2 linked regions of the Rattus norvegicus genome follow. Each later gene encodes a partner of the first gene's protein in a complex. Links are inferred from orthologs where the notes say so. Each region holds a gene or a part of one and is shown in the gene's direction. Other genes may lie near its edges.

Region 1 (7,895 bases):
AATTTTCAATTATTTCATTTTTATGTAGATATAGCACACTTTGCTTATTGTTCTGTACCTTGCTTTGTTCAGCTACCCCAGTATATCTGTAGTGTTCCAGTCGGTTCATAAAGGGGCATAATAGCCACAGTGTAAACTGAGTGTATTTTGCTAGTTTCCCTTTGGACATTTCCAGTCTCTTGCCATTACAAATAAGGTTATAGAGAAGGTTTTCCTGTATTGCTTCACACATACAGTAATAGTCCCCTATTATTAGTTGATTGAAGTGGTAGTGGTGGGTGGGATGGCTCAGTGAGTATAGGTGCTTGCTGCCAAACCTGACTACCTGTAGACTTCTGTCTCTGAATCCCTATAGTGAAAGAGAGTGAGCTTATCTCTGAAGGTTATTCTCTGACCTCCACATGCTGTGGCTTGTGTACACACAGTAAATGAGTAAACTTACAAAGGGAGAGTATGCTGTCAAGCATCATGATCTGTGTTCAGTCTTTGGAACCTACATGGTAGAAAAGAGACCCAGGTTATCCCCTGACTTCCATACCTGCATTATGGTGAACACCTATGCATACATACATGCATTCATACATACAAAATGTACATTTTTTTTTAAAGCTGTGGGCATTTGAGTTTATAGCTTAGTAATAGAGCACTTGCCTATCTTGTGCAGAACCCCATAGTTTGGTCCACAATACAGCAGAAAGAAACAGAACTACAGACATATTTGATTTTGATAGTTTCTCTGTGTTAGAGCCCTGTCCTTCCTGCAACTCGTTTTGTAGTCAGGTTGACCTCAAACTCACAAGAGATCAGCCTGCCTCTGCCTCTCAAGTGCTAGGATTAAAGGTATGCACCACCATTGCCCAGGAAGTGATTTTGATAGTTTTCAAGGCAGAGATGCTGAATGAACTAAACTTTTGAATATGTATGTACAATGAACTCTCACTTTTTAACAAAAATTGCAGAATACATATTGAGGTTAGTGAAATTTTATGAAATTTTTATTTTGCAGATATACAAAACTAGGATATGCTGGAAATACAGAACCACAGTTTATCATCCCATCATGTAAGTATTTCTTTTACTCCGTGATTGAACTAATCTAAATGTCTTCCTCATTATCAAAGTGAAATAAGTCATTAAGCATGCTTTTATATCAGAATCAGGCATTTAGAAACATGATTGCCTATAAATGGAACCTTATTTCCAACTCTTAAATTTCAGGTCTTTACCAAATCTGCTAAGTATCTCTATAAGGAAAACAAAACAAAACCCAGTAGTGAATTGATAATTAAATAGTCTCTGTTTGAGGATTTTGCTGCTACCCCTGTGTGTGTGTGTGTGTGTGTGTGTGTGTGTGTGTGTGTGTGTGTGTCTGTGTGTCTGTGTGTCTGTGTGTCTGTGTATCTGTGTGTATCTGTAACTGGTTATTAAGTAGCACAACTCTAGTACCTGTAATTCAGCTAAGGTGACCATCCTTTGGCGGGAGGATGCCGTTACTGTTTGCAAGACCTGTCCTATAGACAGTTGGTGCAGACACCAATATTTGACAGTGAAGAGCCAGTGGTCCTTAACTCAGCAGCCTCACTGCTCTCTGATATAAGCTACTATGCTTGTAACATTGTCTTGGGAAACTTTTGTTCTTTTCTGCTTCTGTTAACCTTCTGCTGATTGTAACAGTTTTAGTAGATTTAGGTTGTTAGAGGTATTTTTATTAGTAAAGATGTATAGTACCCTCAGCATTATTTTTGTATTTTTGATTTCCATCATCTGAAAGCTGTTTGCATGATTATGAGTGAAGAGTTGAACTTACAAAATTAAAACCTAATTAGACTACATGGCAGGGTTTCTTTTAAAACAATGTTTTTATTTTTATTCATGTGTGTATGTGAGTGTCATGTGTGTATATACGGGCACCATATGTGTGTATGAGACACAGGAGAGTATCCAGTCCCCTAGAGCTGGAGTTATGGCAGTTGTGAATTAATGAGTGTGCTGAGAACTAAATGTGGGTTTTCTGGGTGAACTGTAAGCTCTCTCAATCACCAAGTCATCTCTAGTTCTGAAAAGTACATAATAGATTTTACCTCTGGGAAATGACACAGAATTCTGAAATTCTTTAAAGGGATTACTTCTCGTATTTAAGATTAAAATTTAGTAGATCTCCATTGGATAAAAATAAATAAAGATGCAAAGAAAGCTTGTTTTTAAAAGTTCTTTTTGTAGGTTTTCTTCTTTTATTGGTTAATGTTATTCATCTTTAATTTCTTGACTGTCCACCAAGTTTTATATTGACTTTATAAGATTAGAATTCTATTTTTAGCTTATTGTTTGTATGTTGAATATGGTTGCATAGTTGTCATAACATGCATGTAGAGGTCAGAATACATTTCTTACAGGTCTTATGTCGACCTTAGGTCATGAGATTTCTGAAACACGTACTTTTACCCACTGAGCCATCATTCTGGCCATACAGGATTCAGAGCTAAGCGAAGGGTTGGTAGCAAAGGACTGCAGTTCTTATTGTTTGTGAAGCTGAAGGGGGCAGGTTTCAAGTTTAAGACTGGCTGGATAACTTAGTAGGTTGTGTCTCAAAAGTAAAAAGTCTATAAGGGCTAGGTATATAGCTTGGTGGAAGTATATACCTGAATACGTGAGACCCTAGTAACACATATACATCCACATAATTAGAATCAAAATGGATTTAATAGATTTTGGAAATAGAGCTGAAACAGTCCCATAGTAATACCTTTTTGTGGTTTATACTTGAGGACTTGCCTCTGAGATGAAGCTGAGGTGCTGATGTACGAAAGGCCAGTTTCTTACAGCTTTTGTTCCCTAGTTAACAGTTTTAAGTATTCTGGATCATGCTTATTTGTTGTTTTTAGCAACATTTTACAGTTGAAGAAAGCAAGTTAAAAGTTGTTTGATTTGAAGAGATGAAAATTTAAAATGTCTAATTAACTTACTTCAAAGGTATTGCCATTAAAGAGTCTGCAAAAGTGGGTGATCAAGCCCAGAGGAGGGTGATGAAAGGCGTGGATGACCTAGACTTCTTCATTGGTGATGAAGCAATAGAAAAGCCCACATATGCAACAAAGGTATGTTTCTAAGAGGGTTCCAGTCAGCTGCCGGCCTGTCTCACTCTTGTGGCTTTGTTGCTCTCTCCAGACGAGTTTTCTGTTTTTTGTTTTAAAATTTTCACCTGTAACTGACTGTAGACCAGGCTGGTCTTGAACTCAGAGATTTGCCTGCTTCTGCCTCTTGAGTGCTAGGATTAAAGAAGCTTAAAGCCAGGATTAAAACCATCTGGCTCTGCTCTCCTCTTCCTTTCAGCTTTAACATATTGAAGTGGGTGGATTTACTTTTCCATGCCCATTGCCTCTCAGGGATCTCAGTAGGGATTGAGTTTTCTTTCTCCACATAGCTACATCTAGAAAGATTTCTTCATTGATCAGATATTCATTTCTTCTAAGTCACATGGGAATATTGTTCTTCCTCTTTCCTCCCCTTCTGTCTATCCCTTCATTGCTATAGAACTTACACAGTAAAGCAAGTAGTCTTCATTGTGTAGCTTAGAGAATGTATGCGGCTGATTGTACCAGGTAAGAGCAAATCTTGTAACACATCTTCCTGTGTCTTTGTTCATAGCTAACTACTCTAGCCTTCTTGGGAGGTAAACACTTCCAATCATTCATTTCCTCCTTCGTGCTTTTCTTCCTTTGTAATGTTAAATGAATAACTATACCCTACTATATGTAAAAATACAACATTAGGGTTTTGCTTTGTGCTGAAAAGAAAGTAGTAAGAAACAACTTCTCTCCCAGGGATATATTATGAAGTGAGTAAAAGGGAAAAAAAGCAGGATAGGATGTTGTAGGTGTGTGCTACAGAAGTTGTTATAACGTCTAGTTGGGGATTTAGCAGTCCTTGAAGGATAAATTATTGAGCTGAGTCTGGAGTTAGGTAAGATGTGCAGATAGTCATTAGGCAGAAACCAGTCATAAGAAGGCTTATGAGGAAGACAGGGAGCAGCATAGCTTATATGCCTGAAGTCCAGGGGCATCATGAGAGCCAGTCCACACACAGGTAACATCCATGGATATACTGGATCAACAGTGTTAATACGTTCTGTTTGACCTTGAATTTTGGCTGTATTTCTTTCTAGCTTTATGGTATTCAATGACTTAACTTTCTGTACTTTAGTTAGTCTAGTTGGGGATTTAGCAGTCTATTTATCTATGCAATGGAGCTATTAATAGTTCATGATTATTGTGGACCTTATTTAGAGGAAAGATATAAAGAAATTGTTGTAGTGCTCAAATCGTGAAGAGAAATTAATTGAGGGAGGCATGTATGTTTCTAAGACAATGATAGATGGCAAGGAATGTTCGTGACTTGGGCCAAGGCAGAAGTTCTCAACCTTCTTAATGCTAAGACCCTTTAAAATAGTTCCTCATGTTGTGATGATCCCCAACCATATATTTTGTTGCTGCAATTATGAATTGTAATATAAAGACCTGATATGCAGGATATCTGATACTCAACCCCCAAAGGGTTCATGATTCATAGGCTAACTGCTGGACTAAGGTAAATCTAGTAGGGATAAAGAGAGTTGAAAGGCATGTAGGTACGTGTGTGTTTATTCACATGTGTACATTAAAATGTTATAGAAAAATTCAAAGCTAAAAGTAAAGGGCTGGGTGTGGTGTGCATACCTTTAATCCCAGCCCTTGGGAGGCAGAAGCAGAGGCATCATCTTTGTGAGTCTGAGGCTATCCTAGTATATATAGCAAGTACCAGGCCAGTCAGAGCTGCATAGTGAGACTTTGTCTCAAAACAACAATAAATCAGTAAAATTAGAGGAAAAATAAATTGACCCCACACATGCCTGTCACTCAGCTTTGGCAGTTAACAAACTTGTAACTGACCTTACTTTGCTATTCCATTCCTAATTACTTTCTAGTCATTCACTTAAAAGTACTTGGCCCGTTAACAGTATTTTGTGGTTTTAGTCAGAGTTTAGTACATTTCTCTTGAATGTTTCCTAATTGGTAAATGTTTGGGTCATGGTTAAAATAAGGACCTTCCCCTGGATTTAGTAGTTAAGTCTCATGAGTCTTCTGCCCTATAACTTCTTTTTCTGTGTTTGTATTTTATTCTTATTTCTTGGTTATTTACTTATGGAGGAAAATCAGCAGTCTATTAAATTTCCTATATTCTCATCTCTTGATTGCACTTTTATTGTACATTTGCCATGATTCACCATTTCTTGCTTTTTTATTGTTGGTACAGAAATCTAAAAGTCTGAGTCAGAAGTATGCTAAAGTTTAAAGTTTATTTTTTGAGACTATGTAGTGTATTTGAAGTACCTGTGAGGCAGCTCACATGTTTTGAGACAAAATAATGTGCAGGCTTTGGAGCTCAGAAACAAGATGGGTAAGGTAGAGAGAAGGGGAGGGATCAGTTACTTTGGACAGTGAGCGATGTCACCTAGGGGAGTCTACAGCAGGAGAAAAGCCTGGGAAGTGTACTAATTAGACTTGAGTGGAGAGATACAGAGAGGTACACAGCATGAACTATCCAATAAGATGTCTGCAGAGGTACCATTTTAGAAATACAGTGGAGCTGGATGAATGTAGCTTTGTGAATGGTAGATCAGGAAAGACTGGCAGATGGAATACTATTTCTTGAGGTTAGGCTATGACTTGTGGAGGGAGAGATAAAAAGGTAAGATGCAGAAGTAAGATGGGAGAGACATTTAATGCTAAATATTGCTTAGAAAACTGAAAGGGGCATATAACATGGTCTTGGAGAAAGTTGTAGGAGTGCATTCTAGAAGACAAATTGGATGGGGTGGGAGCTAGAGAAAAGGTTCGGTGGGTTTTTTCATAGGGCCCTCCGCTCATAACCACCTGGCACTCCAGCTCCAGGGGTTAAGATACTTTTTTTTTTTTCTGAACTCTCAGGCACCTGCACTCACATGTACATAACACAGAGAGAAATAACCATGTATACAGAAATACAGGGAGTATTGCTAACATTGTAGTAGAAGTTTACAGATTTGGTGAAGTAGATTCAATTTCTCTCTTGAAATTCTTCTTTGTCTGTGAAACATACAAGGCATTACCTGCTGCCTATGGGAAGGGTTTCTAGGGAAAGCTGAGATTGGTGTGGTTAGAACATTGACAGAATCAACTCTATGGAGTGTCACATGAGCAGAGTGGCTAGTGTAGATGGCCTAGACAAGGTGAAGTGTCTTAGGTTGGGTTTCTCTTGTTGTGAAGAAATTCCATGAGCAAGGCAACCCTTATAAAGACAAACATGTAACTGGTGTACAGTTTCAGAAGTTCAGTTCATTATCATCATGGTGGAAGGCACGGCAGCCTGCAGGCAGACATGGTGCTGGAAGAGCTGAAAGTTCTATATCTTGAGCTGAAGGAAACCAGGAGGAGGCTTGGATTTCACAGTGGGTGGAGCTTGAGCACTAGGAACCCTCAAAGCCCCTCATATCTAACACACATCATCCAACAAGGCTACACCTATTCCAAAAAGTCCACATGTCCCAGTAGTGCCACTTCCCATAGGTCAAGTCTGTTCACACCACCACACATGCCTTCTACTGCATGTACTGCAGCCAAAGGTGTTGAGGACAACACTGGATAAGCTATCCATCCAGTCATTGCTGCTTACGGATTGAGTGTGTGAAAGGGTATTTGTCACAGAGATTCGGGAGCTTTCTTGGTGCCTTTTTAGAAATTTCAGTAACATTTTCACAGTGACAGCTAGAGTTTGAAAAAGAATGTGTGTGATAGGTGTTTATTAAGTAGTTAGCTAGCATGGTTCAGGCACCACAGTAGCCACAGGAAAAAGGCAACTTTGAAACTTGAAGGGAATTACTTCTTTTAACAATTCCTATTGATATGCTTTGCCTGATACAGCTGTTAACAGTGGAATGGATTAGACATTGCTACTTTTTTTTTTTTCTTGCTTTAAAAGTGGATTTGGATGTTCGTGTGTACAGTGTTTGGTTTTTACATAGCAACAACCCAAATTGGCAACCCAGTTTTTCAAAGAAACATTGTCATGAAGGAATGCACTACACACTGATGTTGAAAATTAGATGTATGCTAGCACATGGTTTGGTGTGTATCCTGTGTATCCTTGTGAGTTTTAACCCTCACAGACATACTTGTGGATTTACTAATAACCTAGGATTCCCCAATTCAACACAAACCTATATAGCCTTCTAAATTAAATCCTAAATCCTTAATTATTATTCTAGCATTAAATATTGCATGTTTAACAATTTTTTTATTTACTGATTTGCTACTATTATTATTTTTAGGTGACATTTCTCTGTTGCCTAGAGTATTCTCAAAGTTGGGAGCTCAAGCAGCCTTGCTTCGGGCTCCTCAGTAGCTAAAACAGTGAGTGTGTGCCACTATATCCAGATACCAAGTGTGTATTGTATGTTAGATACACAGCGGATATCAGCTAATGAACTAATAATTAGAGATTAAGGAAATTAGGATAAAGTCAACATTTTTGACGTATTCATCTTATGTCTCAACCACCTCAATGTACATTGTAAAAATAATTTCATTTCTCTATGTATATTTCTACTTAAGCATGTATAGTCTCAGGATGACCTTGTGTTATCACACATAAAGAAATACATCTATTTCTAGTATCTACTAATGAGCTAAAAGTCTGGTTTTGTATCTCTGGTTTCAATTTTTTGACATTAATAAGACTTAATTTGTGAATTTTGTTTTAATAGTGGCCAATCCGCCATGGTATAGTTGAAGACTGGGACTTAATGGAAAGGTTTATGGAGCAAGTGATTTTTAAATATTTAAGGGCAGAACCTGAAGATCATTACTTTCTTTTGGTAAGTA
Region 2 (7,895 bases), on another chromosome or scaffold:
TAGTAGTTTTCTAGTTGGAGGACATACTTGTAGGTCGCTTATCCATCTTGAGTTAGTTTTTGTATGTGGTGTAGATTGGTGTCTAGGGTCATGCTTCCACATTAGAATGTTCAGTCGTGAGAATAATTTGTTGGAGAAATCGTCACCATTGTGTGACCTTGGTGCTTTTGTTGGAATTCAGGGGATTATAAATATTTGAGTTTCATTCTGAGCTTTCTGTTCAATTCCAACTCATATATGTATAAGATAGAATTTCCATTCCTTTCCATATTTCTTTTTTTTTTTCTTTTTTCTTTTTCCTTTTTTCCGGAGCTGGGGACTGAACCCAGGGCCTTGCGCTTGCTAGGCAAGCGCTCTACCACTGAGCTAAATCCCCAACCCCTCCATATTTCTTTAGGCAGTGTTTCCCAAATGCCTACCACATCGATCTGGGCCTTTCTGTCTCTGACAGAAAACTCAAGTGGTTATTTAAAGTTTGTTTTAAATTTGAGCTCTATTTCTATTTCCACTTTGGGAAGAAACTATGTATCCTAAATGGAAAAAGAATAACATTTGCCCCTTCTCTGCAGACAACTCTCAAAATAGCAGTCAAAACAAAACAATGTTGCAAAATTCAGATTAGCTACTTCTTGCCTAGGAGAGCTTCAGGGTTAAAAAGACGAGGAGCAGGCAGCCGGCAGCGGGCATCTGATTACCCAGATGCAGGTGTAATTGGAAGAGCTGATTTGGTGGTTGTTGGATTTTAGTAATGTTGAAGCAGACACTCTTGAGGAAGTCTCCAATATCCACATCCCATGTGTCACTGGTGCTGAGAAAAACCACTAGTGTCCTGAGGGTATTCAGGAAGCTTGTAATACAGGTGTGGACTCCATTGGGACTGATGAGAGTCTGGTGTGAGATGCACTCAGTGATACTGGTTAAGGGAGACTGACCCTGGGAGGACTTCTTTTCATCATCAGCAGATGCTGTAATTCAAAGATCTTTGGTCCTGCCAAACCTTTCAGCAGTGTCTGTTAGCCTGGGGAGGCAATGGGACCAGAAAACCAGGCTCAGGGCAGTTTGGACATTAGTGTTGACTTTAAAAACTGTCTTTCTCTTTTGCTGTTGACAGGCTGATGAGATTGAGAAGATTTTATGCCATAAATTCATGCGCTTCATGATGATGCGAGCAGAGAACTTCTTTATCCTTCGAAGGAAACCTGTGGAGGTGAGACCTGTTTATTTGTAATTCCCAGGATTCTGTCTGCGTGTGCCCCAATGTTTGATTTTTGTAGTATTTGGGGATGGAACCCAAGGCCTTGCACTGCTGGACAGGTTACTGTGCTACACCCTGGTTCTGTAGGATTGCAGCCTTTGGGCTGCTGCTTCTGGTTAGGGTTTCACTGCCTGGGCTGAGTCAGCCCATACAGTGCCCTCCTCCTCCTCAGAACCTCGGGCCTAGTCCCAGACAAAACAGTGATTTTAGAATCCTTCCTGCTGTTGGTGGTGTGCATGCTTGTACAGCGTGGGGGTGGCTAAGGTGGGAGAATTGTGAGTTAGCAGTGAGGCTAGGCACACTGACATGGGGTAGTGTGGGGAACACAAAAGCCAAACAAAAACTTTCCTACCAACTGTGAAGTCCAGCCTCTCCGTGCCACAGTCAACAGTGAATTGCTTGTTGTCTGCCTTTGTACTTAAGGTACTGAAAGGTATGTCAGCTCCCTGCCAAGTCTCCCTGGTGACCTGGCAGACACCATCAGCCAACACACCGAGTGTCAGCCTCTGTGTTCTTCACCCTGCTCCCAGTCCTCACTCGAACCTCGGGGCCACTAGAGTGAGTGAGCCCTTCTTCCTCACACAGCTCCTGAAGCAAACAGCTCCAGTCCCATCCTTTTCCGTGTCAGTTTTCCTGTTGTTTTTACTATTGAATTGGCGTCTTTGAAATAAGACTTCTGGTTCCTTTACTCCCTTGGCTCATTTCAAATACAAGGCTATTTGTGCCACGAGGACATCTGGTCTGGCACACGATTTTGAATTGGGTTCAGTTGCTTGGGTCCAGCAGATGCACAAATGTACACTCGCCCCATACCCCAGCACCACCCCCACCCACCCAAGCAAGTTTGGATTGCTGACTGAGGGGTAATATATAGCTCAGGAAAAAATGGAGGCCGGTTAGAAGTCTTTTGAGTGGGGAAAAGATATGACAACTAGGCATCCCTGGGGGGCTAATTTTGTCTTGTCTCTTCCTTCCCCGATGGCTTCCCTCCCTAGGGTTATGACATCAGCTTTCTCATCACCAACTTCCATACGGAGCAGATGTACAAACACAAACTGGTGGACTTTGTAATCCACTTCATGGAGGAGATCGACAAGGAGATCAGTGAGATGAAACTGTCAGTCAATGCCCGGGCTCGTATCGTGGCTGAGGAGTTCCTCAAGAACGTGAGTTGGGCCTCCCTCCCCTCTTGATGCCAGGGGTGGGTTTTGTGATGGCACTCGAAAGATAGTCCTAAGTCTCTTCAGACCCAGAGAATGACTAGCCAAGATCTTTGAAGCACAAGGCCAAAGATTTCACCCTTGAGAGCCACAAGGCATTTTCTATTTCTCCAAGACTGGGAGGCAAGTCACCGATGGAAATTCCAGTTCTACACAGTCTTTACCTGTCCTAGTTCAAAGCCCCAAGTGAGGAAGATAGAGTGCTTTGTGAATCTTCTGAGACCAGAAGACAGCCCACTTCTCGAACAGACTTAAATATTTTTCTTCAGTGTCTGTTTTCAGGCTCGTTACTATGGTTTCTTCAACATGTTTCCCATTACTCATGGTTGTGGCCATCTAACTGAAAGGCCTGGAGTGCTCAGAAGAGGTGGATTGTTTACTCTGTGGAGCTGGTAGCATCGTTTTGTCTAGAGATTCAGCACATACTCCTGCCTTCCTTACAGTCTCCGGTTTGGTTTGTTGATGCATTCCACTCAGGGCTGTCCGATCCCTCCATGGTAGAGTTAGTGTTTATCCCTACTGGTGCATACAGAGCCAGCCCATGGGAGCTCAGAAACCTAAAAGTGGAAATGACACCCACTTCCCCTGGGGTTTAATTATCCTGTGGGTGGCCAGCACACAAAGCAGTGTTGTTTATACTCATAAATCAGACCAAGTGAGGGCCTGGCTCCTCTGCCTCCTCCAGGCATGTCAACGAAGTGCTCAGCTAAGCCTGGTTTCCTCAGCTGTGGCCTGAGTGCTGTTCATATGCACCTTTCAGGGAGTTGAGCATTAAGATCACAGAGTGCTTAGTACACTCCAGGTATGGAAACAAACGCCACAGTTCCAGGACAGATCATAAAGACTCTCTAGGTTCATTTGACCAAAGGGAATTGTCCCAATCTAGTATTTAACTTAATTACTTGATCACTTATAATTTGTATGCATGAGGAGAGACAGACAGGCCATGGATCCCAGAACAGGGCCAGTATCCAGTCTCCCGAAGCTGGAGCTATGGGAGGTAACTGGCGATCATGCTGGCCGCTGACCTCCAGGGGGAGCTGTGTTCACTAAGCTGTTTTCCCAGCCCCTAGAAGTTAATATTTATTGTCCAAGGCTCTGGAAGTGAAGCTGCCTGTGCAGCGTCCACCTAGTAACTGGGAGGAGAGGAATATGAAGCGGGGTTTCTGGTTTAAGCATCTACAGTAGGGCGACTGGTGGTGCTGCGGTGTCAGCAGGCAGTGTGTGTGGCTGAGGGGCTTTGTGGAACATGGTAACGCTTGCCTCTGACAAGGGTTGCCACCAGGCAGCTGCAGCCTGCTACTGCACCATTGTCCTGCTTCTTCTTCTGGAGCTTGGAGTTGAACGGAACTGAGGGCTTTGCTTGTTCTGCCCAAACCCTGGTCTCTGTCTCCAGCTTGCTTTTTATTTATATTTTGAGTTCAAATCTCACTGTGTAGTCCCAGGAGTCTTGGAATTTGCACTCATCCGGCCTCAACCTCTGTAGTAGCTGGGATTGCAGGCTTATATAACCAGGCCAGAACAAATTGTTCTGAACCCCCAATTTGGATTTGTAGTAGCATCTGTTGTCTTCAAAGTCATAAACAATTCATAGCTTTGAACATCATGTGGCCCAGGCTTGGGCTGTGCTCAGTCATTGAGCAGGGTCTGGTTTATAGTACCCAGGATTGTCCTTGGCACACTGCGGCTACCTGAAGCAAAAAGCATTTTCTTCCTGTCTCTTCCCTTCCCCATTTTTCCCTCTCTTTTGATCTTTCTGGGAGGAAGGCAGAGAAACAGGTAGCCTCTGCTGCCCCTGAATTCACTGTGGCTGAGTGTGGCCTTGAACCTCCTGATACTTGTGCCTCCACTTTCCTGAGTGCTAAGATTGTGAATGTGTGCAGCCGTGGGGGTCAGACAGCTCTTCTAAGGCCTATTCTGGTTTGACAATCACCCAAAGCTTAACATAGGATAACATAAGGATAACATAAAACCTTGTCCTTCTCTCCTTGGCTCCCTGAGCCCTCCAGCCCCTCACACATGGGCCTGTATCTAAAGCAGCTTCAGTTGCTAAGCAGGCTACAGGGAAGTCCTCATTTTTTCTGCTTTGTTTAATTTGTGTGTCAGTATCTTCAGATCATTGCTAATGTCTGGCCAGATTAAGAGCGTGTTTGTGGGACTGTAGAGATGATTGGGTGGTTAAGAGCACATGTTGCTCTTTTTGGGGAACCTGGGTTTGGTTCCCAGTATTCACATGAAGGTTCACAAAGAAAGAGTATGTTCATGAAGTGCCAAAGGCTGATCTGGCTCTCAGAGACCTGAACAGCAGCAGCTCCCCAGGACACAGTAACCCCACTCATTGCCTGTCATTCTCTCTGACAGTTTTAGACCATCTAGCTGGATCTCGCAGCCTTCCCCCTTGGCCTCCCCTGTGTCTCTGCGTCTGCGAAGGTGTCCTGGAGTCACTCCCCGGAGCAGCGGTGCAGCAGCAGCAGCAGCAGCAGCAGCAGGAAGCTGGGTTGGGTGGGCATTGGATGCGGGAGGCGGGTGTGGTGAGCTTGCTGGCTGTGCAGAAAGGCAGCAGTGGACCTGCCCCATGGCCACATGCGTCTGGTCTGGCTAGCTTCTGATGCTCAGTCCCCTGGGCCGGGACAGCCTTTTTTTTTTAAATGTCTTGAAACCTAAACTCTGTGCTTGTAGAAGACTGTAACCTTTTTTGTCTTTTTTTTTTTTTTTTTTTTAAACCAACCTCCACCTCCAGTGGCTGTGACTGGCCCCAGTGATTGTACCTTATTGGTCGCTGTGGTCTGGGCGGGCCTGGAGCCAGAAGGCGACTATTTTTCCCCAGAGCCACCCCAGGTGGGGAGAGAGGGAAATTTCAGACTATAGTTTTTTTTCTTGCTGTCTTACCCACAAGCCCCCTTGGGCCTTGTAGAGGTGGTATGGACCCTCTGCTAGCTTCTTGAGTTCTGCCTGAAGATGCCCACTGCACTGGTTGGGAACAAGGGCTGATTCCATGATTGCCGGGCAGGCCTAGGAGCTGGGGTCAGAAGCCAGGCAAACTTCTGGCCGCAGGGACTGCCTGGTGTCCATCCAACACCCTTCCAGCTGAGAGGCCCCAAGGTTGGCCCATCTGGGTACAGTGCCTGTGCTGGAGGTGCAGAGGTGAGTCCTGCCTGCTCAGGCCCCTCTGCTCCCATGCTCGCTGTCTCTGATTCTGATCAATTCCCCCGCCCTAATTAAAGTCTTTTTCTGCCCCTTTGGGGCTGCATGAGGTCTGTGCTCTGTGTGTATGTGCGAAAGGATGTGTGTTTTATTTCCTGGAGCCTTGTGGCTGGCGCTTGGATCTGGAGCAGTCCAGCAGACATTTGTGTCATTGATCCCTGCCAAGGGCCCCAATCGACCTTCACTGCAGCCAGTCACCGCCGTTCTGAAGGTGGTTTCTGCCTGCACAGAGATGCAGTGGTCTCCACATCCTGCTTCCATACTGGCTGACAGGGAACCCAGAAACCACAATCCCAACTTGTGAATAAGAAAACAGGCTCCACAGCCCTAAATTGCTTGCTCCAAATTTCCCATTCTGTGAGCAAGAGGAAGACTTCTTCTGAAGCAATCATTCCCCACACTACCTAAAAATCTTGGTCTGATCGTTACTTAGCAGGTGTTGGGTGGTAACTCAGTATTGAACGTGCTCGGGGAGTTCTGTCAGATGATGTTGACTCCTGAGGCAAACGGTCCTTTCTCATTGTTTCCTGACACATAGAGACTACTTGTGAACTATAGAGCATTATCCCTGTCACACAGATGCTAGTAGGTGAACAGTAGCTGATCTCTACCTTCTGTTTAATTGTGTGGGCTGGCCATCAGTCCTGACATCCAGTCCTACTTTGACAAAACTCAGTTCCAGTCAAAATGAGGTCTGTCTGCAAACAGGCAGTGAGAGTGCTGTTCCTGGTTGGAGGAGGGATGGGGCCATAAGTATGCTTACAGGAGAGAGGGTATCAGGGAAAGCTGGAAAGTACCTGGCCTCGAGCCAAGTGTGGTAGCTCACACTTGTAATTCTAGCACTTGGAAATTGGAGACAGGACCACTTCTGTGAGTTCTAGGTCATGCTGGAAGCACAGTCTCAAATGGCATGTGTGTGTGTGAGAGAGAGGGTGCTGAGCTTTTTGGATGGGCAACAGAATATTTGCTGGGGTTTGGGGAGAATTCCCAGTGTTGGGATTGAACCCAGGGCCTTGAGCATAGTGTGCAAACCTACCACTAGGCTATATCACCAGTCCCCAGAAGAGTCTTTTGAAAAGAACAAGTGTTAAAGGAGGGGTGGGGACAGCTTGACTGGTTACCATGCCTTTATGACACTACCTCTGTGACCTGCCTTATTGAATTAGTTAGGTCCTTTGTGGTACCTGGCTTTCTTTATTCTAACTTTGTAGTAACTGTTAGAGGTACTCCTCGTGAAGGTGGGAGATCAGAAGGAAATGGCAGCTGGTCACTCAACCCTCAAAAGACATCCTTATTCCGGTGAGCCAGCCAAAGCCCTGCTTTGTCAAGGATTATCTCCCAATGTCCAAAGTCCTGAAACCAGATTTGCAAGATGAACACTGACCAGATTGCTGCCAACCAGCCAGTTCTCTCCTGGGAAATGCCATTACTAGCCAATATATGGGGATCTGTGGTTGGATTTGACAGGACAGTTGGGGGCAGGTGCAGGGACTACCTTCACTTCAAAGGCACATTTGCCTAGTGACTGACAGCTGGCTTCTTGGACTGTTTGAATAGACACTGATAGAGTTGGATTCTAAAACCCCATTTGGTGCTTCTGACACCCCCCTACACACACACCCCAAAGCAAGCCCAAGCGGCTGGACATGTAGCTCAGTTGCTAGACTGCTTTGTCTAATGTGCAGGAAGCCAAGAGTTCCATCCCAGCACAGGCATGGTGGCAGTCGTTGAAAGTCTGCCTGGGGTAAATGAGACCCTGTCTCAGAAGTGTTGGAATCAGAACTCTGTACTGAGGGGTTGGGGATTTTGCTCAGTGGTAGAGCGCTTGTCTAGCAAGCGCAAAGCCCTGGGTTCGGTCCCCAGCTCCGGAAAAAAAAAAAATCTCCAGAACTCTGTACTGGGATTGGCCATGTGCAATTTTTGAGACAAGTTTGAACTGACTTGGAGTCTCGATGTTTCCTTTTTTCTGAGAGTTCTGAAGATAGCACCTTGGTCACTTACAGACTTGGCCAGGATGAAGCCTAACTTCTGTACCTTTCCATTTCTCCAGTTGATAAAAATGATTTATTTTTACTTTTTCAAGTTAGTGGAAGAGGCAGAATGTGCTCAGGCCTTATCTTTGTCATCCTATACACAACAGCAGCCGTGGCTTTCTTATTTATCTCCAGAGACCTCTCTGCCATCTCTAGCCAGGCCCTGCAGGGCTCATCTGCCCT

Evidence for each region. The genes of interacting proteins can lie anywhere in the genome.
Region 2: the proteins of Actr3 (region 1) and Arpc4 are in contact, whole or in part, in a cryo-EM structure (PDB 6YW6), measured with the Homo sapiens proteins. The link is inferred for Rattus norvegicus from reciprocal best matches to the Homo sapiens genes ACTR3 and ARPC4. Residues at the interface, in NP_005712.1 of Homo sapiens: Lys53, Gly54, Val55, Leu58, Glu121, Glu124, Tyr125, Glu128, Glu132, Tyr400, Glu401, Pro405, Arg409; in NP_005709.1 of Homo sapiens: Lys89, Arg92, Phe93, Met96, Arg97, Glu99, Asn100, Arg156, Ile159.

The regions. Positions count from the first base shown.
Region 1 is NC_086031.1:39,373,234-39,381,128, reverse strand, and holds part of Actr3 (actin-related protein 3), read left to right. Parts: intron 1-1,006; coding exon 1,007-1,062; intron 1,063-2,970; coding exon 2,971-3,095; intron 3,096-7,777; coding exon 7,778-7,888; intron 7,889-7,895. UniProt on the Homo sapiens protein: ATP-binding component of the Arp2/3 complex, a multiprotein complex that mediates actin polymerization upon stimulation by nucleation-promoting factor (NPF).
Region 2 is NC_086022.1:148,082,700-148,090,594, forward strand, and holds the end of Arpc4 (actin-related protein 2/3 complex subunit 4), read left to right. Parts: intron 1-1,111; coding exon 1,112-1,207; intron 1,208-2,250; coding exon 2,251-2,421; coding exon of another isoform or gene 2,422-2,448; exon of another isoform or gene 2,449-4,836; coding exon 4,837-4,842; 3' UTR 4,843-5,728; downstream 5,729-7,895. UniProt on the Homo sapiens protein: Actin-binding component of the Arp2/3 complex, a multiprotein complex that mediates actin polymerization upon stimulation by nucleation-promoting factor (NPF).